Linked DNA regions of Lytechinus pictus. The protein of the gene in region 2 purifies or fractionates together with the protein of the main gene of each other region. This does not show direct contact. Links are inferred from orthologs where the notes say so. Each region holds a gene or a part of one and is shown on either strand. Other genes may lie near its edges.

Region 1 (7,703 bases), on a different chromosome or scaffold from region 2:
TAAAAAAAGGCAACTCCATGATTTCATTCAAGAGAACATATTTCCTAATTTGTTTAAGTCTCAAGACAGACACTAATTCTAATTTTTCATGAATTTTTTCATGCAAATTGAATTTAATTTTCTTAAGTAAATTTATACGTTTCTTTCATTGAAATATTTCATTCCATCAAGAAAAAAAAATAAATACAAAAAATGTGCAATATCTATATGCTGCTTCCTTACCCAGATACGATAAAAGACCCTCCATGTCTGCTATAAACTCCACGTTGGGCAGGTAGAAGCTATGAGATACAGTCATATGATGCAGGTTGTCTTCAATTGATGAAGTTGATTGACTGCAGAAGAGACAATCTGTAGGCGGTATCTCTTCACCTTCTACGTCCTCCCATTCCTCCTCATCATCATCGTCCATCACTTCATCAGCAACTTCATCTTTGTTCTCCGTCCTCAACCTAGATGATGATGGTGGTGCAGCATTGTTGTCCATCTTCTTTTTCTTCTCAGCCCCTTCCCTCTTCATCTTCTCTCCTTCATAGGCGTCAACCTTGGCCTGGTCGCGTTTGTTCTTGGCATTCTTGATGGAGACCTGGCTCTGATCGGATGCTGCTTTCATCTTTGCCTCTGCATCTTTATGTTTCTTGGATTGTAGGTGGTTTGTATAGGCGTTCTCCGTGCCAAAGTGCTTCCCGCATACCCCGCATCTAGTAGAGGTGTCACGTTGTGCTTCAGCGGTCTTGGATTGTTGTGCAAGAAGGCGCTGCTTGAAATCAGCAGCAGTGACGGGAGGAAGCTCGGCTACTTTGCGTTTGAGGTTGTAGCGATGCCAGTCCGACTTGTAGTGAGCCCTCTGTAGATCCGTACTGGCGAATGCCACTCGGCACGAGATACAGGTGAATGCCCCTGATGACATTGTTCTTTCCAGCTCAGCTATACTTGAGATATCTGTAGTAAAATATTTAAAAGAAATATTAAAGACATATAGCCAGCTTGCAGGTTCTCCCTGACACAGCCCATTTTAAGGACTTTCAAAATTGGGAGCGAATTGTGCAATGTCAACAGGCTGATCTGTGACAGTGATCACTAGCTCAGCCGCACAATCAAAACATTGCATAGTTTTGATCAGGGGTGGATCCAGAATTTTCCAAGTGGGTGGGAGGGCACATTTTTCTGAGGAAAAAATTTGACTAGCAAAAAAAAGTTTTCAACCAAAAATTAAGTATACATTTCGTCCCAGAAAAAAATTAACAAGCAAAAAAAAAAAAAGGACTTCACTTGCAAAAGGGGGGCACACTTCTGTTTCAACAGCATTTTTACATTTTAATTTGTTTCCCAAGGGGGGGGGGGGGGCACGGGCCAGTTCTGCCCCCCCCCCCCCCCGGATCCGCCAGTGGTTTTGATTGTCTGGCTGGCGATCCTCTCAACGATTGTGGGGGTTTTGTTTTCATAAATATAAGCCAATATGGTGGCGTAATATTTGATTTTTTTCTGATTCTGATTTTTTTTTTGCGATTCCTCTAAAAAAATTGGGTTTGAATTTTGAAACATCACTCACCAGATTTCAATAATTAACTTATCAAAAGTGACATGCAGCATAAATCAATGATAATCTATAATTTAAACACAATAATATTTTTCGGCTCTCCTTTCCACTAACTCTAATACCAGACTGTCCAGACAGACATCTGCCGATACTATTAACCAAGTAAGTCTAATCACTAATGTGATGCCCAGAAAATGGTTATCACTTATCATAATAATTCCAAACATTGTCATGATTGTCCTCGTTTAAAAAATTTTTGGACCACATTATGAGGGACATTCGGCATTATCCTGGTTTAAGTCACCACTCCATTCAAAGATCAAGGAGAGAGCTTATAAAGCCTTTGTGAGACCCGTGCTCGAGTACGCCTCCTCAGTTTGGGATCCTTCTACAAAGAAACACATTGATAAGCTGGAGTCTATACAGAGACGTGCTGCACGCTTTGTCTTGAACAAGTACCATAAAACCTCAAGTGTTAGTGAGATGATCAAGACCCTCGGCTGGCAGACTCTTCAGCAGAGAAGAAAGATCACACGCCTCTCCATGCTCTACAAAATAACCAACAACCTTGCACATTGCCCAATAATTAACTCAAAACTTGTCCCACTACCAACTCGCCTGCGTCGTTCTCACAACAGACAGTTCCAGCTGATCACCTGTAGAACTCAGTACAGAGGATCTTCATTCTTGCCTCGCACTGTGAAGGACTGGAACGGGCTACCAGCTGAGGTAGTGGATGCTGCAACCCTTGACACATTTGTGACAAGGGTCAGCATGTAAACGGCATCACCAGCAATGTCATTTTTTATCTTAAAGAAAAAAAAAAAAGAAAAAAAAAAAAAAATCTATGTTTCAACAGTATGGCAGTGAGTCCAAACTTCGCGCGTGTCCATACTTCGCGGACGGTCATTATCTAAAAAACTAGCCAATATCCTTAAAATCTGACATCATCAACGTGAAAAGCGACCTAAAATTATCCTTTGGTGTAAGTTTCTTTAGGATGAGTTCAGTATTCATGAAAATATTGGCAAAAGATCGGCAAATTTGTCACCGTTAGCGCCCGTTTTGAAGAAATCTTATATTCTCAACAAGCATCACGATATCACCATTTTGCAAGCAGAAATCATCAAAAATGTGAGTTAAATGTGGTACTAACCGATTCTATAGCATTTTGCCATCAAACTGATATAAATATTTCACTTTTTGAGCTTGAGTTTTTGTTTAAATGTCCACAAAAACTTTGGTCCGCGAAGTTAGGTCACACTTTTTCTGAACCTTTTCCACCACAGCGCGCATTCGCCGATCGGAATAGAATTTTGAGATCGCGATACCGGCGAATTCCCTTGACCTACTTCACATTTTCGTCCATGATTTTATAGTTTACGATCTTGCCGTCAATGTGGTAACTATTTCTTGAATTGGTTATGTATAAATTATGAATATTTTGTGAAAAAATTTAAGCCTGATGAATATTTTTGAAAAGTGCGCGAAGTTTGGACACCCCATCATACAGTAGGATATCGCAGACAAGGTCAAGTCAACTTTTTTCAACTTTGCCATAATAATCAACACTTTGATTGTGGGCAACAACGGAAAGACAAGACAAGACATTCACTGCCGTTCATTTCGTCAACGGCGGTGACTTCTTTCATCTCCCATTGCCATTGGCATTGTCATTGACTTTGTCTTTGTAGTTGTACACAACGAGCGCACACACTGACACACAAGACTCAAGAGAGGTGACTTATTTCAGGATAAGGCCGGACATTCACACTTGCCAGACACCTCTGCTCTGCCTGGTCGAATGTTCGCGCCATTTGTGATGGTGATCAAGTTCTGATTCTGGTGGGGAAATTTGCTCGAAGTCGGCCGGTGCAAAACTGCATTAGCGCCCCAGAGCCAGCTGCTGAGCACCGCCCTCGCTAAAGTAAAGGCTTTAAAGCAAAGCCAAAGGCAAGGCGGAGAGCGGGGCGGAACTCTCGACTCGCGCTCGCTGGACCGGCAATGGCAACGCCAAATTTAATTTAAAGATCTTAGAGTTAGAGTCTGGACGTATTTTCTTAACTTTCTAAAACTCACCTCGCTCAAAACTTTCATGAACTAACCACAATAAAGCTGGTAAAATTGGTAAACCTATAACTTGTTAAGTAACGCACACCCGGTCGGTCGGTCTCACCTTGTTTGATTGAGGTTGATTGGTCGTAGTGCAGTACTTAGCTTACAAGACAAGACAATTACCTCAACGAATGTCCGGTAATTTAGCTCATGTGCAATTCGAATAGGCGTATCATAAAAACGTGAGAGTCCTACTATATAATGAATGTGAAAGAATCGCACGCCGTAGTAATACAAATTTGTGTTCTAGAGTAATTGCGCAACACGTCGCAAGAGGTTTATGACAACTCCACAAAGTAAATATCGTCATAAATGATGTCGGTCAGATATTTGGGGGGGTCGACCTGGCACTATACCGGGTGATTCATTTTGATGTTTGGCTGAGGGGCATGCAGCCCAAGTGAAGTTTATCTGTCTTTCACTTTAAAAAAGTCAAGTCTACCCCAGAAAAATGTTGATTTTGAAGTAATAGAAAAAAATCCAATAAGCATAGCGCTGAAAATTTCATCCAAATCGGATATATAATATAATAATTATGAGTTTCACTTACACATGTATTAGTTTTCACAAAATAGTTGCACCAGTTAGTGACATGCAAATGAGACAGTCAATGGTGTCCTTCACTCACTATTTCTTTCGTATTTTATTGTTTGAATCATACAATATTTCAATTTTTACAAATTTGAAAATAATGACCAACTTTAGTGAGCCACAAAATCAAAGGCCGAGTTGTTTGTAAGAGTTTTACCGTTGCCAATTTTTGAAAGATCCGATGATATGAAATTCAAGGTTAATTCATGTTGATATTGAACAAAATCACAAAAATAATATATATATCGAATTACAAAAAATTATTTATCTATTATGTGGATTAATATTAATATAAAAATAACAATGCAATTATAAAAATATCCATACGATGGACCGAGGTGACCTTAATACGGTCTCTTCTGCTGGACTCCGTAATTTGTCTAAAATGGTCAGTGTGTAACTCTACGAAAATCCCTGAAAATCTTCCGATTTTTGCCCTAAATATACGAATCAACAATAATCGGATGTTCTAAATTAGGCTATCACATTTTTCATTCCATTTTCATATCTTTTTTCAACTATTAAATCTGTTATTTTGGTGTAAATTATCCCTGCTCTATTTAAGTTCGCTAGCGCTACCAGTTTGCTGTGTTCATTGACTTTACCGATCTGCCGATGATTGATTGTAGTCAATCATAATTCATATCCCACGTTTTGGCCAAATTAAGCTGGTAGTGGTAGATCTGAAATAACCCAGGCATACCATATTTGATGAAGATCCCCTCGACTTTTGCTTTCCATAGAGTCGAACTTTAAAAGATTATGAATTTACAACTTACAAGTCATGACAAAAATTCGGCCCGGGCCGGACTCGGCGAGCGAAAGTGGTGTCTAACGTTAGTCTTTGCTTTGGGGAACCTTTGCTTTGCCTTTGGTGACTGGTGCGGTGCATGCATGGCAGTGAGTCCAAACTTCGCGCGTGTCCATACTTCGCGGACGGTCATTATCTCAAAAACTAGCCAATATCCTTGAAATCTGACATCATCAACGTGAAAAGCGACCTAAAATTACCCATTACCTAGTAGGCCTAGGCCTAGGCCCTAAAAATTTCTTTAGGATGAGTTCAGTATTCATGAAAATATTGGCAAAAGATCGGCAAATTTGCCACCGCTAGCGCCCGTTTTGAAGAAATCAACAGACAACAAGCATCACGATATATCAGTAGGGAGACCGGACCTAATTTTTATCTTTGGATAGGGTTGGACTTACGTGCTATGACTGTAATCATTTTATAGGGAAAATTTCACTCATACCAACTGCCGAATTTCTTGAAGTTATTCCATTTTACTGCAAAGTTACAAGCGAAGAGAAATTGACATTTTTCCGCCAATAAGAGCTCTAAAACCTCCCAAAATATGGTCATCCACGATACGCGTTCACGTCCAATTCAGGAAATGAAGGCCTCCCTCGTAAGGAGGAGTCTCCGCGAATGTTGCTAATGATGTCAGCGTGCCATGATTTTTACGCTGCACGGTCATGAATATGTATTACTTTGACCCCGACTGTCTTCAAAAGTTTGAGTTACGCACCCGTACGGGTGCGTTTAGGTCAGGTTTAGGTCAAGCCATGTCACGAGCGAATGCAATGCATAGAAAAAGAGAGGGGGAAAGAGACGCGATCGTAACGTCCAGAACCGATGCTTGAGAGGTTATGAGAGAGACAAAAGCTTATGATGAAATGTGTCTGGGATTATTTGTGTGCATCAAAAGTGTGTCCATTCAATGTACCTTCCCACGTGGCTCACGACACGGCGTGGAAATTTCCTTTGTTTATATTTATGTCTGAGAGAGTCTGGCATTTGTCTGTGATTTGCATGTGATGTGGCAGTGCATTATCGAGTGTGTATCTGCTAAGACAGAGAAAGTTTAATCATCACCTCATGAAAAAGGTATTCCCCAAAATTCGAGACGAGATGGGGCGGGGGGGGGGGGGGGGGGCGAGGCAAAGAATGAGAAGAATCAGCATGTAGTTTTCAGCATGGGATTGATTTTTTAATTGTGTGATTCTCTTTTTTATCAATTTTATTGATTCTTCTTGAAAATTGTTTTAAATGCTTTTAATCAGGCGCTGGTGGGAGGGGGGGGGGCAAGTTCCCACCCACTCCATTTTGATTTCTTTTTGCTTGATTGTCAGAAATTTATCCAGTTGTCAACTTGACAGTGGCGGCCAACTTCTTTTTGTCCAAAAAGCGTAACCCCACCCCCCCCCCGTTCTGATAATTGGATTCACCCCTTCAAATAATTAACCCCCTTCTTGATTTTGCACTTTGGTTGTTACCGATTCCAACACAGTCATTATTATATTTGTCGTAGATAGCGAGTTGTAATTGATAAATTTCCTATGATTTGTGAAGGCTTTGATAACTGGGATCCAAAGAACTAATATGATTATAGTTACTCTGTCATGGCAACTACCGTGGGAACGGGGCTCGACCACAATCGTTTCCATGTTCAGAACATGGACCCCTGGGAATGACCCGGCATTTGACCTCCATTCTCAGTCTCCAGATATTTGTAAACAATGATCTTATCTTGGCCGCTGGTTACCATGGTAACGGACATTCCAACGTATGTTCAGTTCATGGACCGAGAGGTCCATGCACAGTTGAATCACGATCAGAGTTGAAACATGGAGAGGGACCTCCATAGTTGAAAAAAAAGACACTCTCGATCTGGAATAAGTGGAATCAGTTCTGGATTATATATAAGAGCATTTCTACTGTAAGCATTAAGATGAAGAAAAATAATGACTGAAATGAGTCCGGGAAATGGGCAAAATATTTGGACTGGGAGACGGCTTTTTTTTTTAATCATCCTTCGAAGTTCGAGGGATATATACGAAGACGGCCAGCAAAATTATTGTTCTATGAATTTAATTCTGCATGTAATTGATTTTTTTTAATGTGTGATTCTCTTTCTTATTCGTGATCCCGTTGATTCTTCTTGAAAATTGTTTTTAAATGCTTTTAATCAGTGCTGGTGGGGGGGGGGGGGGCGACAAGTTTCCATCCACTCCATTTTGATTTCTTTTTGCTTGATTGTCAGAAAATTATCGAGTTGTCAACTTCACAGTGGCAGCCAACTTCTTTTCGTCCAAACAGCGTACCCCCCCCCCCCCCCCGGCCCCCCCCGTTCTGGTAATTCCTGGATTCACCCCTTCAAATATAATTAACCCCTCTTTTTTATTTAGCATTTTGGTTGTAACTGATTCCAACACAGTCATTATTATATTTGTCGTAGATAGCGAGTTGTAATTGATAAATTTCCTATGATTTGTGAAGGCTTTGAAAACTGGGATCCAAAGAACTTACTACATGTATATGATTATAGTTACTCTGTCATGGCAACTACCGTGGGAACGGGGCTCAACCACAATCGTTTCCATGTTCAGAACATGGACCCCTGGGAATGACGCGGCATTTAACCTCCATTCTCAGTCTCCAGATATTTGTAAACAA
Region 2 (7,703 bases):
TTAAGGATTGTTCTGACATGCTGCAACAATGCTCAGGAACATTATTGTGTTCCAAGTTAATGGGATATGAAGTGTCAAAAAATATGTTGCAGAGGCTAGCGACTTTCAATTTTAACATCGCAAAGAAACAACAAAACTGTGGATAAAATCTATTTCTTCAAAAAAGTGAGGACAAATGAAAACAAAATTAGTGCTAAATGATAGGTCAAGAGTTGTGCGTTCAAGCTAATAACATCATGTGATATGATGATGTAATAATAAAAAATTTCAACATCAAATACCTTTAAAGGACAAGTCCACCCAAACAAAAAGTTGATTTAAATAAAAAGAGAAAAATCCAACAAGCATAACTCTAAAAATTTCATCAAAATCGGATGTACAATTAGAAAGTTATGACATTTTAAAGCTTCCCTTAATTTCACAAAACAGTTATATGCACATCCTGGTCGGTATGCAAATGAGGAGACTGATGACGTCATCCACTCACTATTTCTTTTGTATTTTATTATATGAAATATGAAATATTCTAATTTTCCCCTCATTTTCAAGTGAAACAGCGATTATTCCTCCCTGAACATGTAGAATTGGCATTGTTTAATACTATATGATTTAGTCAACTTGGTCCTTATTGTCAAATCTGTAAAAAATGAAATATTATATAATTCAAACAATAAAAAACAAAAGAAATAGTGAGTGATGGACATCATCGACTGACTGACTTGCATGACACTGAATTGTGCATATCACTGTTTTGTGAAAAATAACAAAACTTTAAAATGCCATAACCTTCTTATTTTACTTCCGATTTTGATGAAATTTTCAGCATTTTGCTAGTTTGATTTTTCTCTATTTATTCAAATCAACATTTTTTAGGGGTGGACTTGACCTTTAATACTGAAATCATTATGATGTCATGGGTTTGTACGCACAATATATGACCACTTTTTGAGACTTGAAGCATGCAATTCATATGTATCAGCATACATGTAAATGGTGTACTTTTTCTGACTACGTATGAACATGAAAACAAATGTTGATGAGGCTTTGAGCATACCTGAACAAAACATTATTCCACAGCTTGTTAAAATCTAGATTTTGTGAAAGCATGGTGAATGTATAGGTGACAAATACTCCTCTTTGTTTTATTTTATTTTTTTTACAGAATGCATTAATCTTGAACTATCAGTTGGATTTCAAGTACATTCCTTATGAAATAACTATTAACAAGAATGGAATTTAATAGTGTACATTGGAATTTCACAATGAAATAAAAAAGAATGTAGATTTCAAATAAGAAACTTACATGCGGATCCTCATGTTTGAGCAGAGTGGAGAGGGACTCCACACACGTCTCCAAGGAGCCGTCCGATGGCTCCATCTTGCCACAGAGCCTGGAGACCACTGCCATGGCCGAGTGGAGGGTATCCTTGTGGATCATGGAGCCGTTGTCTCGGATGAAAGATAAGACGCAATGGAGACCACCAGCCTCAAACACGGCTCCTGACTCCCTTGTGCACATCAGTTCAAGGACCTAGGTGACATATTAAAAATTATGAAAAACATATTGATATGAACTTTGATTTTTTAGGTTAAATTCAAGACTGGATTAATGGATATTGTAGTCCAGATTGGGCCTTGGTGTTTGGAAGTTCTCTTTCCCAAAGCTAACATAGAGGGCACATGACTCCCACTCTCTAATCAGCGCCAATCCACTCATCTTCCCTTATATCAAAAGTTGATTTTCCAAAATATACATGTACATTAAAACATTTTTTTTAATGCATAAATAATCAACTGGAAGTTCATTATGTTCATTTGAAGAAAAAAATCAAAATAAGATAAATGCAAATGTCATAATACATTATTTTCTTATTTCTATTTCATTTTAATAATTAAACCTTATTTCATATTCTAGACATTATAAAAAAAAAAACATTCAACCACATATAAAGCAATACCCATTGGTAAATACATGTAACATACAGTATCAAAGAATGTTTACCATATGTTGACACAACATTTCTTATTCCATATTTCATGATATTGGACTAAAACATATTTCTATTTACGGAAAGATAAGGGGATTTGTGTAAATTATAGATTTCAAAGCTCTCTGCCAAGGTGCCCCTCCTTCATAATGCCTCTGGCAATCAAGATTAATTTTCCATCATGAAAGTCCCCCATGACTTTATAACACGATGGCATGTTTGGCACAAAGAAATGGTTTATATTCACTTGGTCTACAAGAACTTGGTCTACTACATGTACTCAGTTCAGTTTAATACCAAATAGGCTAAACCCTTTGGTCTACTACCAATTTGGTCCAATTGCTGTTTGGTCTACTGCACTTGGTCTAATGTCTACTTAGTTCAATCTTACAGAAGATTAATGCCCAGTTGGTCTAATGTCCACTATTCATTTATAGTTTTTACTTTGTTAAAAAAAAATGAAAATTTGATTCAGAAAGAGTTTATCTGTTCATATTGTATTAGACCAATACGAAATGAGTAATGTATATTAAACTGGACATTAGAAGAAATGTTAAATGGGCTTTGAAGTGGTAATTAATCAAATGGTAAGTAAACTAATAAGTTGTAGACGAACTACATGTAGGAGTAGACACCATGTGGGATTAGACCAAATGGAAAGTAGACAAAACAGGTGTAGACCAATTGGCAATTTACCAAGAATTTAGTATAAAAGAAACCATTACTCAAGGTACATGCACGTTTACCTTAATGCATTGTTCAGCTAAATCCTTGCTGGTTCGACAAGACAGCTCGACAACAACCAGACGATTGCAAAGGGCCTTAACAGCGCCATCTACAGCCACGATCCTACGAGTGCACTCCGCTGAGACATCCAGGTAGTAGGTGATGGCTCGGGCAGTGACTTCCAGTACGTTGTCCGGAGCATGCTCGTCAAGAAATATACGGCACAGTGCGGGGAGAAAGGTTCTAGGTGGACAGCTGAATAAAAAGAAGAAAATAAAACATATATTTTACACATGACATTACAGGAATATTGTTACTTGTTCATATTGTTCGCACGCTATAACAGAAACACCTACAATGTAGCTGTATCAAGTGCCCTTTTGTATCATCATCATCATTTTTTTCAATGTCCTACCTGTATAACTGCAATTTTGAAGGTAGTTTTGATAGATGAATTTTCACTCTTTTTACAGTGTATCAAATGCTTATGAAAATGTGACAAATGAGTAGAATATTATGACTATAGGCCTTTATAAAATATTGTTTTTACCATGCTTGGAATATGTAGCACGCATACATTATATACATGTGCATGCAAACATTTGCAATGCCCATATAAAAACATTTTAATATAATTTACATCACGGTTTTACTCATCCAGGAACATGCAGCTTTTTATTACCATCTGTATCATATAGAATGAGCAAACACACACAAATAGATAAATACAGTCAGTGATGTGTAAATATGAGTACTGAAAGAAAACTACACTGTATATGACTCAACCCACACATCTTTTACCCAAACAATAATGAAATATGTCCATCTCTATACACAGCTTACTACATGTACATGTATAATGTACCTACTGTTCCTCTGATTGTTATAAAAGTTTGTTAGAGTGCATGTTCATGTACTCAGTAGATGATGTTGGTAATGTTCATGCCATGTATAAAGTTAGGCTTTACTGTACAACATATTGTAAGTAAAGAACCAGAGGATTATTGTTAAATTTTTTTTTGGTGAATAAAAACAGGAGTTTGTACAGTGTAGTTTTCAAAAGGCACTTCACTTATATTTTCTATCCACAATCTTCCAGTAACATAGCAGCCCCCCCCCCCTGCCTTAACATGCAATGTACTGATGTACATATTGAAGACAATATATTGGTGGTATTTAACTAAGTTTAGGGGAAGTTCATCCTGGCGATAAGTTGGTTTTAATATGGATTTTCAAAGTTTTAAATTATGTCCTATGTGAGCAGCTCCCTATACATGTACATTATTCATGCAACAACTTCCATTTAACAGATATGATGAATAATATTATTTTCTTATAGCCAGGGGTATGCCATTACAGGTACAGGTGTACATGTGTCTGATGATAAATCCACTGCATAAATGAAATCAATTATGACTTTTTTGAGAAAATGCAATTTGGTGGAATTTATCCACAGCTATACAGAGCTGCTCGTTTGTGACATCATAATTTCAAATTAAAAAAAATCTTTAGTCTGTTTCAATTTCTTTCACTAATTTTCATCAATCCTTCACCAATATCTTTCTCTAAATTTTTCCAGTTTTATCAGGGTGAAATTACCCTTAAAAATGTTTTGAAAATTCTCTCAACATTATTGTGGTACATGTACATGTATCAACATAAATAGGCCTACATGTACATGTAAATATATGAAAAACAGAACTACATGTAGTCCCATAATAAAACCATAATTCATTATTTTGACTGAGTGTCAATCCAAACCATTGAAAGTTGACAACATACTTGCGCATAAATACATGTGCAAACGTAAAATCAGAAAATTATTTAGGCATCATAATAAATGATTCTCAAAACTGGAATGACCAATGCACGGCTTTACATTATTATATATAAAGATCCAACAAAATAATGGGAATTATTAGAAGGAATGTTGTTAATTGCCCAATATCCATTTCAAAGTCTTTTTTAAACATTCGTTCACATAACTTAGAATCATGTATGGGATCCCCACAGAATAAATACAAAGACATGACTGAACGCATCCAAAAGCATTACGTAAAGATAATGTCCAAAGACTGGACTTCAAGTTATGTGTTATTAAAACAAATTAATATGAACTTATTAAAAAAAGATGTAAATACCATCGGCTTGTTTTTTTTTATTATAAGATTGTACTCAACTTGATTAATGTAGGAGAAGTAAACACTGTAGGTCACAGAGCAAATAGAATAGGAAGAAATTATCACACTTACATAAGATGAATGTTCCATTTGCTAGTACAGATTATTATATTTCTTCTGGTAGTAACATGTAGCAATCAATCACTTGTTGAAATTAGACACTTGAAATATCATTTATATGCAATTTTAGTATTTTTAAGAATTAATTGTTGTCTCCCTACTGTAGTTTTCATTTGGAACTTCAATCTATAATATGATATGCCTTGATATATGTTGCCTATTTGTATTCCTATCTAATGTCATTGATTATGTATTTTGTTTTATATTGTGGGATGCCTACTTGTATGGGTTTTTTCTAAACCTTGTTTGGCAATCTAAGATATGTAAAATTTGTCTGAATGAATTCAAATCAAATCAAGTGCAGCACATGTCTTCAAAATGTTGTTTTCACTCTGCTTTCAAATTCAAGGTCACATATTTCCACCGAAACTGCCTTCAAGTGAGGCAAGAGTGGCAGCTGCAGCAACACCTAATTGCCAATTTACTTCCCTGCGTGCTGATAAAGTGCATATGAAATTTATGGACAATTTTTTCCCCCATGCAGGCGCACCTTCAGCATATTTCCCCCACCAGACACATTTTGTACACAGATGTTCACAACCAATTACGGGATATATTTGTTTACACCGTGGCCAACATTTTCTCACAATTTATTACAATTTATGAAACTTAGATGTTTCTCAACATGAGTTCACAGTACCAGTATAAGTATTTCTTTTTTTTTTTTCATAACTGGAATTAAGAGACAGTGAAAGAATATTGATAGCAAAGGAACAATTTATTCTGCTGGCAATCTTTTGCAATTAAAGTTAAATAATCTCATTTTGATAAGATTATTATTTTCTAAAATCATTATTCATATTTTATATTAATAAGAATGATGAGCAAATTGTCATAATATATGTAAAATGGTATTTATTTAAAAAAAAACTGATAACAATTATATATTGTTCATCAACACCAAAATATATTAAAACTGACAAAGTGACTAACATAAATTTTGTTAAAATTCTTTTACAAATTACATGTATAATCCTTCATTGTACAACGCCTACTTAGCTTGTTGTACGCGAGCAAATGGGAGGCTGAATGTCAAACATTCGTACCGTTGCACAAAAGACGTACCATCCAAAATGTACCGTCCAAAATGTACCGTTGCACGGCTTTAGGAGGTGACGTCACAATACGATTTAATTCATTGCGCTCGGTAAAAATGAACAATACGCGTATAAGCCAGCTGGCTAAATGCGCAAGGCTGCCCACGGTAATGTGCGCTTGTGGAATTTTGCTTTCTGCTTTCGGTATTTTTGCTCCCTTTTCATAGATTACTATAGGGATAAACTCTTTGTTTTTTCATATTTTCGCTAAATTCCGAGGCGTTGTACAACACAAATAGCGAATATCCTTATTCGTGCAATGGTGCGAGATTTCGCATTCGGTGAAAGAAAGAAACGCTCTATTCAACTCGGCTCACGCCTCGTTGAATAGAGCATCTTTCTTTCACCTCATGCGAAATCTCGCACCATCGCACTCATGCCTATTCGCTATTTGTATATTGTTCATCCATGTTTGCTTTTCAAACATTGTTTTTCTCAGCATGAATATTCCCTTGCTATGATACGATAGTCAGAACATTTGGGACACATTGCAATTCAATTAATGATTGAGTCATACAGACATGAATACTTTGTCACAGGAATCCTGATCGCTCCCTGGCAATTATCCAAAACATATCATACAATGATCATCATGATGCGCAGTGTAAAATGTAAATTATGTACATTGTGGTTTGCTTTGTTTGTAAACCTGACTTTGTAAAAATTGAGCTACATACGTGTACAGTGTATTTCCAGCACTGAGAACAAAATGAAAACTCTTTTGACATTTAGAATCAGAATGCCAACTTTGAACGTATACATCTTGAGATGATGTCATGTGCAAAATCATCTTATCCATATTGTACTGAGTTTATATTCTACTTAAAAAGAATCTTAGCGTACACCTGTACTGTACATTGTATAGTATGAAATGGGTGCAAGAAATTGCCTAACCATTGCTTTCACATCATAACATGTCTATTAGGGCAATTTGACGCCTGCCTTCCGTTCTCTTCTCGCGACTCGCTCAATGCCCGCAGCAAGGACATGATGTGAATGTGAATTAAGTCCTTGGATGGCAATGCCGTGTCTATGTTGTTAATATAAATAATTGTGATAAATGATAATGGTACAGATCTTTAGTTTACTCATAATTATTACAAGCATAAAGTGAGACAAACAAATCAATGAAAATCGACAAATGCAAAATGGACATGAAAGTAATATTCTAAAAAATAATATTAATACAGTTCCTTGCGAGATGAAAATACTAGGCAACTGTCTTTTTCTTTCTTATTTATAAAAAAAATGTCAAAATGATTTCACCCTGCGAATAATCTAATGCATCAAATGTTACAGACTGATATCTCTTCATAGTTTTTTTTTCAATGTTTTTCAGTTACTAATAGCCGTATGGGTACTAGTATTCAACCCGGCATAATTCAAAGATTTTGACATATTCCCCAAAATATTTAGAAATAGGGAATTTATCTTAATTTCATACCTTTGTTATTTCCAGGGTAATCTGTTGTCGATATTTTCTTTGTCAATCTGTCGACTGTATGCGCGGAGGATCGAATTATGCGGCGATGGCCTTTTGCACTGAATGGTACTAGTATTCAACCTAGTGAGGATTGATAGCAAATCTCAAA
Region 3 (7,703 bases), on a different chromosome or scaffold from region 2:
AAATGAGGAGGATATCTCTATGATGATGATTAGAAGCATTTGTATTGGCCATTTATCTGTAAAAAACATTCAAGGGAACCATCACCCACAAAACATGTATGTCACACATTTTCCCCATTGCTGTAAAAAATAGGTCTGTAGTTCAAATGCCATTATCAGTAATTTACAATTCGTAATACTTTCAAGGCAAACATTTAATTCCATGACTCAGACACTGTGGTCTCAAGTTTTTCTCTAGGAAAGTTTTAAAAGAACCTACCTTGGATGTCCCAGACTCGGACAGTCTGATCAAGAGAAGCAGAGACAACAAGGTCTTCAGAAGGATGAAAGTTTGCACACATGACGTAATGGTTGTGCCCAGTAAGAACACTGAAATGAAAATGACAAGGAGAATACAGTAAATTTATAACCAGCGATGCCATGAGTGGAATTCCACAATACGCAGTTTTAGCTTGTCGATCTTTAGAGTGAGTATTGACATGTGTATTCACTCTGTTATACAAACAGATGGTCTAGTTCTCAGATGGCCAGACCTATTTGGCCTACTTAACAATTTTGTCTAATTACCATTTGGTGCAACATCACTTAGTCTAAATACTCAATTCATTTGCTATCTAGTAGAAAAATGCCCAGATGGTATAATCTCTCAAATCAATCACTTTCCACTTTGTCAAATGAAATTTGGTTCATAAACAGTTTTATAGTCAAACTATGTTGATATTACCAAGAAAGAGTATAAACCACAACACCACAAATTACAAATAGCATAAATTTTCATACATTTAATTTTATATCCAGGAAAATGCTATACAAATGCATGGTCACCTTTAATGCATGTTTCTAATGATCAGAGAGAAAAGAGCAAGTTGAGGAAGAATTAATCCCCATGGCTGATCTTCAACACCAAGCATGCCAATGTTGCCATTTTATCACGATGATGATGATGATGATGATGCACAGCATTTGTATAGCGCCATATATATATACTGTATGTCAAAGACATTCAAAGGCGCATTGGAGGAGCCAGCCAATCTGGGTCGCCAAGAAGGCGCGCACACAGAACTGTGACCCGCAGGTCTCTCCTCCCGATAACTGGTTGGGGGATGCAGGTGGACCACTACACCGGGGTTTCCCCCTATTCTTATTCGAATAGTGCACTGAATTCTTAACGTGCAAAGGTGGTGATTCACCTCTACACGGGGCCTCCATTTATCACCATTTACTACACATAAATCTTTCAGAAGTAGCATGTTTCGTTATTATATGTTAAGCCATTACGTACTGGAACCAGGTTTTCCTTGTGCAAAGCCTATAGGGATTACATAACTCAAGTACACTGTAGTCAACAGATTAACCCATTGCACACTAGAACGAGGTGGTCTCTGTACAAAGCCTATGGCAATTAAAGAATTCAGTCGTCAATCGGTTAACTCACCAGACACAGTTCCTTGACTGCCAATTCCAAATCCTAATAGTCTGGTCATCAGATGCACTCAAGATCCAAGGATATTCCTTAAAAAAAAAAAAAGAGCACCAAAAACAGAAATCATGAAATTGTTGTGGTAAAATTATATTTAATAGAGAGCATGAGGGGTAGATATGACCTTATGAGTAAATACCATGTTTCAGAACAAGTTGTAATGGAGGGAAGGGGATCAATTTGATCTGACCTGATTTGATCATTGGATGCAAAATAATGCACAGATGTTTGAAGACACAATATTAATCTTCCCTGTGCATGGGATTCATCATTGTTCATTTAAATATTTTTTTTCTACATAATTCAATTCTATCTCAAGGTGCTTGCTATAGGCCTTGATAGGGATAAGTAAGTTGATTGACCCACAAGACCCCTCCCACAAGACCCCTCATACATGTCATAAGGAAAATTGGTCATGCATGTAATATGAAATACAAGATCATAGCTGAAAGGCAGCTCGAGCTAAAACCGGGGTAATAATAATAATAACACGCCTTGGAATAGAATATTTCTAGATAGATGGCTCTATATAAATAACTATTATTATTATTATTATTATCATATTTATCATTATCATTATCATTATCATTATTATTATTATTATTATCATTATTATTATTATTATTATTATTATTATATAATATTGGAACTAATCTCCTTACATGATGGAAGAAGGTTGTCCTGATGTAATCCAGATGTCCAAGGAGAGTGAAGAGACATCTTTTGAGTTTATAGTTCCAGACCTTGATCTTGTAGTCATCGCCTCCAGAAACAAACAGGGGCTGCTGTTGGTGGAAACTGATCCCTCTAACAGGACCTGAAAGAAAAGTAAAAATTTTTTTAATTCTGAAAGAACATTTTCTGGAATGTCTGTTGATTTAGGGCTGTATATTGCAATTTTGCCTCTGAAAAATTAAGCATAAGCAGCACTCCGAGTACTAAGTTTGTGATCGGCGATCTGAAACGACATTTGAAAACGTTGATTCTGTACCCGCAATGGAAGCATAAACACACCCCTAGACTTCTTTTTAAAAAACTGGGGAGCTCACAATGGCTCACATTTTTCTCTGTGATTTTGTTTATTCTAGACATCTGATTACACAATCCAAGAAAATATTCATAATTTGTCCATATACATGTAGGTCCTGTATATTTGGAAACAGGTATTGAGTCAAGGCAACATTTTGCTGGACTTGGCCTTGGTCCAAGTCACATGTACAACATCTATGGGAAGTTATAACTGTAAAAAAAAACCAGCCTGAACTACATGTACATGTACATCCCTGTCTGGAAACTACTTTCCCAAGAAAATGAGGATTTCTGAGACCCTGAGAGGCTTCTCTTTTATTAACCCATTGCCTACTGGAACCTGGGGCCTATAAGTATAACACAAACTTAGCAATGATCGTAGAACATTTTTCTACGATTGATTCCATTGACTACAATGTACAATCAATCGTGAAAATCAATCGTACGATTAATCGCTAACCTTTGTGTTACGGGACCCAGATGATACATGTACAAAGACTACGGAAATCTCAGAATTTAGTAGTCAACGGGATGACGTACATGTTATTCTTTTCTTGGTTGGACTTGACCTTCACCCCTGCAAATGACACTTACCATCGTGTTCATCAAACTTCTCCAAGAGAGTGCACATACGGTAGTCCCACAGCTGGATGTTTCCATTGTGCAAGCTGGCAAGGATCCATGGTCGGTTGGGGTGAAAGCACAAGCCTGGAGGAAGAAAGAAAGAGATTGAGAAAGTACAAAGAAGAGCAACAAAACTCATACCATCCTTGGCAATGCTAGACTATGGAGACAGACTTCGAGCCCTAAATCTACCATCCCTGCAATACAGAATGAGAAGAGGTGACATGATCCAGACTTATAAAATAGTGCATGGAATCGACTGGCTTGACAAAGGATATGTTCTTCTCGTCAATTAATGTTGAGGCAACCCGAGGTCACCCATATAAACTCTTCAAGAAAAGAAATAGACTGGATGTAAGAGCAAATGCCTTCGGAGCCAGAATAGTGCGTGACTGGAACTCGCTACCAAATGAGGTTGTCTCTACTCCATCTGTAAATTCCAGGCTTGATAAGTTCTGGAATAAAGAATGGTACAGTCACCCTTGGGAATGATTTGATTTGATTTGACAGAAATGATTGCAAACGCACCATGTACACTGGACACTCACAGTCACACATATTACTTGTGGAAGAAGATTAAACTTGGACGAAAGCTAGACCTGGAAACTTGGCTGCAGCTTTCTGCATTTTTCCAGTACATCCAGTAATACTAATAAGGTAATAAAGGAAAAAAGAACCGAGGATTAATGGGAGAAGGCAGAGAGATGGGGATGGGACCCTCACAAGGACGACACTGTATGTGAAAATGACAGAGTTCAAACACAATGACAAACTGAAGAAAATCTAATCTGGGACTAACCTATGTACATCACCATCTAAAACATGTGACCCAGGGCCAGGCTTCACATCAATTTATCAAATCTCTGATTGTGTGAATCAATCTAATAAAATTTGACTTTTATACGAACAAAGTAAGAAAACGGATAAAAGGTGAAATGCTTAACAATAAAATTATTATTATTATTTTAAGGGTTATAAGTCTTACTACGAATACAGTAACATTGAAAAACCAAATCATGACATTGTATTTTTTCTAAAAATTGAAATAAAAATTTGAGTTTGCGTTTGACTGAACTTCTGTCACTGAATGAAAGGGAAAAAAAGAAGATTGAGAAATTCTCAAAAATCATATAGTATACGGTATTTCAACTATTATTAAGGAAATACAATTTTCGTATTATCTTTATCTTCCCAACTTTGCAAAATAATGAAGGTGAAACCACGGCACACAATTTAATGTCTGGATTTCAGCTCTCCCGGTACGAAACACGACGGCAGCAAGCGGGGGAAGCGCGGCCGGGGTAATGGGCCATGGCACGGCACATCGGCAGTCCCAAACCCGACATTGCAAAGAATCAGTTGCGGACATTGGCGGTGCTGTCACAACACCGAATTCCACCCAAAATTGCAAAGTCAAATATGTGATTATTAATTTTCTTGCATACCTTTCACCCTTGCAGATTTCGTCTCAAATTTTGTAAGCATGATACTGCTGTCAAATCATCAAAAAAGTAATGTAATTTTCTTCCTTTTCTCCTGACAATTCCACGAAGATGCAGCCACGTCACTTTCAGCTTATGTTTGATAGTCTTTCGTACAGCCGTTTTCTCTTGATATTCTTCTGTTCAATTAGTGAGGAACATAGAGATGTATACTAGTAACGCTAGAGGGCGTACTTCGTCAAATCGCTGTGATTACGTGGAGACCGTCCGCCATTGCTCGATAGGTATTCGCAGCCTGCCATATCCATGCGCGTACAGTACCTATGGGGCATGTACACGGATGAGCACAGAACATGACAAATTGATGACATATGAGCACGAAAGCATATGGAAAAGCAAAATTGTAAATATTGCACTGGATTAAAGTTCAAATACAACAAAAATCTAGCAAAACTGAGGTCAAAAGGCCTATATAGGCCTATCTATAGCGCATAATATAGGCCGATACAGCTATAATACAGGCAAACGATTTAAAGTCCCAATTGTTTTTGCTTAGGTAAAATTTTGATACATTAATATGACTTCTATTTTCTAATGATTTGGAAGAGATGAATATCAAAAATAACATTTAGGCCTAGGTCCTGATAAATAAATTTAATGTGTTTTAATATGATTTGATGTACATTAACCTAAGAAAATTCATAGGCCATATCACAGTGATGCATCTGAGACGCTGTATCGAAAAAAAAAACACGATTGTATTTTTATAGTTCATAGTTTCCTAATTACTATTATGCTGATTGCTGATAATTTATTTCTTCACTTTAGATAATTGTTATAATTTATTTTCCATATATATCTACACAATAGGGCCTATAATAACTCGATCCCTTTTCCCCATGTCTTACACGCTGATGTAAACCAACATCACAAAAACTCGCGAATCATAAAATGACTTTTTATTGATATTTGGAAATGATTTACGCATTGATTCAGTTAAAAATTGATGATTTAGATTTCCTTTGCTGGCAACCATCCCATCATATTTATAAATATGTATATAAAAGTATACTTTCTTACTTGCGATCAATGTATAGAAAAGTTTGTTGACAGCAAAATGCGCGCATGCAGTCGTACAATTTTGCAATGTACAGGAGGCCTAATGGGGGGTTGGATGTTTATGTACAGTGTTATTGCCTTGCAAACATTTTAAAACTTCGGAGAGTAAACAAATCACAATGCGCAAAACAATTTTACTTTGATTTTCTGGAAAGTATAGACTTGATTCTCCCCGGCTGAAAATATGCTGATCGGCAAACTGGCTGAAATATTTTGTTTATCGCCGTTGTTTCTGATCCTATAATGATTGGACCAATATCATGTGAACAAATCAAGGATAGAATAATAAGGAGAGGAAGAAGGGGGAGAAGGAGAGAAGGAAAGGGGCGGGATTATGATATATAATTTTTATTATACTATAAAGAATATTATTACTACTGCAAGAGTGTATAAAACTAATATCATGAAAGACATCAATGCAAACTTATCATAATTATGAAAACGGTTGCAAAATTGTGAGTACTAAAACCAAACATAATTATGAAACAATAATATTGCAAAAGTGACAATACTTGGAATAAGATATTAAAAATCCAAATTTAATCTCAAATTTGATACCTGCCTTGAAATTGTGCTAATTAACTGTGTCTGTGTCGCTTGAATAAATGAACTTTATGGCAAATATTTGTAAGCACTGGCACCGGCCTAACATATAAACAGATAAACACGCGTTTTGAATATCCAGTTTTGTTTTTCATTTTAAAAGTATAACTGAATTTGATTTTCTAGTTTTCTTCCTTTAATGTCATTTGCTGGCCTATGGACCTGAGTTTGGTTATTCGATCAGTTTTTTTTAAATAAGATTTCCATGGATGAACAAAATTATTATATTATGTTAATTACGGCGTCGCGGAATGATTTTGAAAGTGATGGGGTGCATAAAATCACAATCATTTATTATGTGTAATGTTCATTTTCATTTCAGGGAGGGGTCCGGTCGCGCCCCCTGTATTTTATTTTGATCAGTATGTTAAAGCGAATTTGCTTAGGTGTGTTTGTTATTTTAATTGCACACACGGCCCCTAAAAAGCGAATTAAAACAAATCTAACTTAAAGTGAAGGGAATTAAAACTGTCATTTGTGAAAAGTTTGAACAAATTAGGCTATATTCTCGACATTTTAAATCAATATTTTATTTTCGGGCCATATAGGCCTGCAGATTTTGGGGAATTTATTATGTTCCTATAAGAACAAAATCAGCACGTTCACCAAATAACACAAATTTCAACATTGATGGTGTAACGGGAGGCTCACCAAGAACAATAATGAGATGCCCTTTAATAGCGCATGTAGATCAAAACACTAACTTATACAGAATTATTGTACAACTTAATATATAAAAATGATAGGCCTATATTTCATACAAATTAAAGCAAGTTACATATCATGTAGGCCTATATAGAAATTACAAAATTATATCCAACATAAACATAGAATCAAAGGACGTAAATGTGGGAAGGATGGAAGGAGGACGATGCAGTTAAAGGTAGGGAAATCCAGAGAAGGGCTAATTCACTGCAGTCTTTTGAATTAATTGTCAATCTTTCTATTAATGTCCGCTGTATGTTTTTATTTTTATATGATTGTTTATTTGATAGTATATCAACATTGTTATCTATTACAGGCCTATAAACGGACAGGTAAATGCAAATTATTTAGAATTTCATCCCGAGAAATCAGGTTTTTAAAATGCCAAATTAATAGCATAATCCCCATGTAATCACTCTAATAGTGTATTGAGATGCAATTTGTCATTCATATTTTCGATTTTTATGAGGTTGTGTTCTTTTCTTCAAGAAAAAGGCCGGAGACGGCACCCCTTTTCACAGCGTTACAACGCACGAGCTATGGGTACATCCGGGTACTTTTGCGAATCTATACCTATCGAGCAATGGCCGCCACGCTCCACACAATCACAGACGTTAAGTACGCGCGCCTATGGCGACTCCGCACTCTAGCGTAGTTAGTATACATCTCTATGGTGAGGAATTGGTCGAAAATCTAAAATT

The links.
Region 1: the proteins of E3 ubiquitin-protein ligase HECTD1-like (region 2) and cytoplasmic 60S subunit biogenesis factor ZNF622-like purify together in Homo sapiens (affinity purification with mass spectrometry; 4 studies listed by BioGRID, with this or other methods). This does not show direct contact. The link is inferred for Lytechinus pictus from reciprocal best matches to the Homo sapiens genes HECTD1 and ZNF622.
Region 3: the proteins of E3 ubiquitin-protein ligase HECTD1-like (region 2) and coatomer subunit alpha-like purify together in Homo sapiens (affinity purification with mass spectrometry, with the first as the bait; 3 studies listed by BioGRID). This does not show direct contact. The link is inferred for Lytechinus pictus from reciprocal best matches to the Homo sapiens genes HECTD1 and COPA.

Annotation. Positions count from the first base shown.
Region 1 is NC_087257.1:20,022,951-20,030,653, forward strand, and holds the start of cytoplasmic 60S subunit biogenesis factor ZNF622-like, read right to left. Parts: upstream 4,423-7,703; 5' UTR 4,210-4,422; coding exon 4,206-4,209; intron 4,141-4,205; exon of another isoform or gene 3,620-4,140; intron 943-3,619; coding exon 223-942; intron 1-222. Other genes in the region: large ribosomal subunit protein eL43-like, read left to right, coding at 4,575-4,634. UniProt on the Homo sapiens protein: Pre-60S-associated cytoplasmic factor involved in the cytoplasmic maturation of the 60S subunit.
Region 2 is NC_087251.1:34,597,170-34,604,872, forward strand, and holds the start of E3 ubiquitin-protein ligase HECTD1-like, read right to left. Parts: upstream 5,069-7,703; 5' UTR 2,735-5,068; intron 1,532-2,734; 5' UTR 1,520-1,531; coding exon 1,304-1,519; intron 1-1,303. UniProt on the Homo sapiens protein: E3 ubiquitin-protein ligase which accepts ubiquitin from an E2 ubiquitin-conjugating enzyme in the form of a thioester and then directly transfers the ubiquitin to targeted substrates.
Region 3 is NC_087252.1:3,707,972-3,715,674, forward strand, and holds the start of coatomer subunit alpha-like, read right to left. Parts: upstream 4,749-7,703; 5' UTR 4,619-4,748; coding exon 4,579-4,618; intron 3,218-4,578; coding exon 3,104-3,217; intron 2,298-3,103; coding exon 2,143-2,297; intron 1,513-2,142; coding exon 1,436-1,512; intron 370-1,435; coding exon 260-369; intron 1-259. UniProt on the Homo sapiens protein: The coatomer is a cytosolic protein complex that binds to dilysine motifs and reversibly associates with Golgi non-clathrin-coated vesicles, which further mediate biosynthetic protein transport from the ER, via the Golgi up to the trans Golgi network.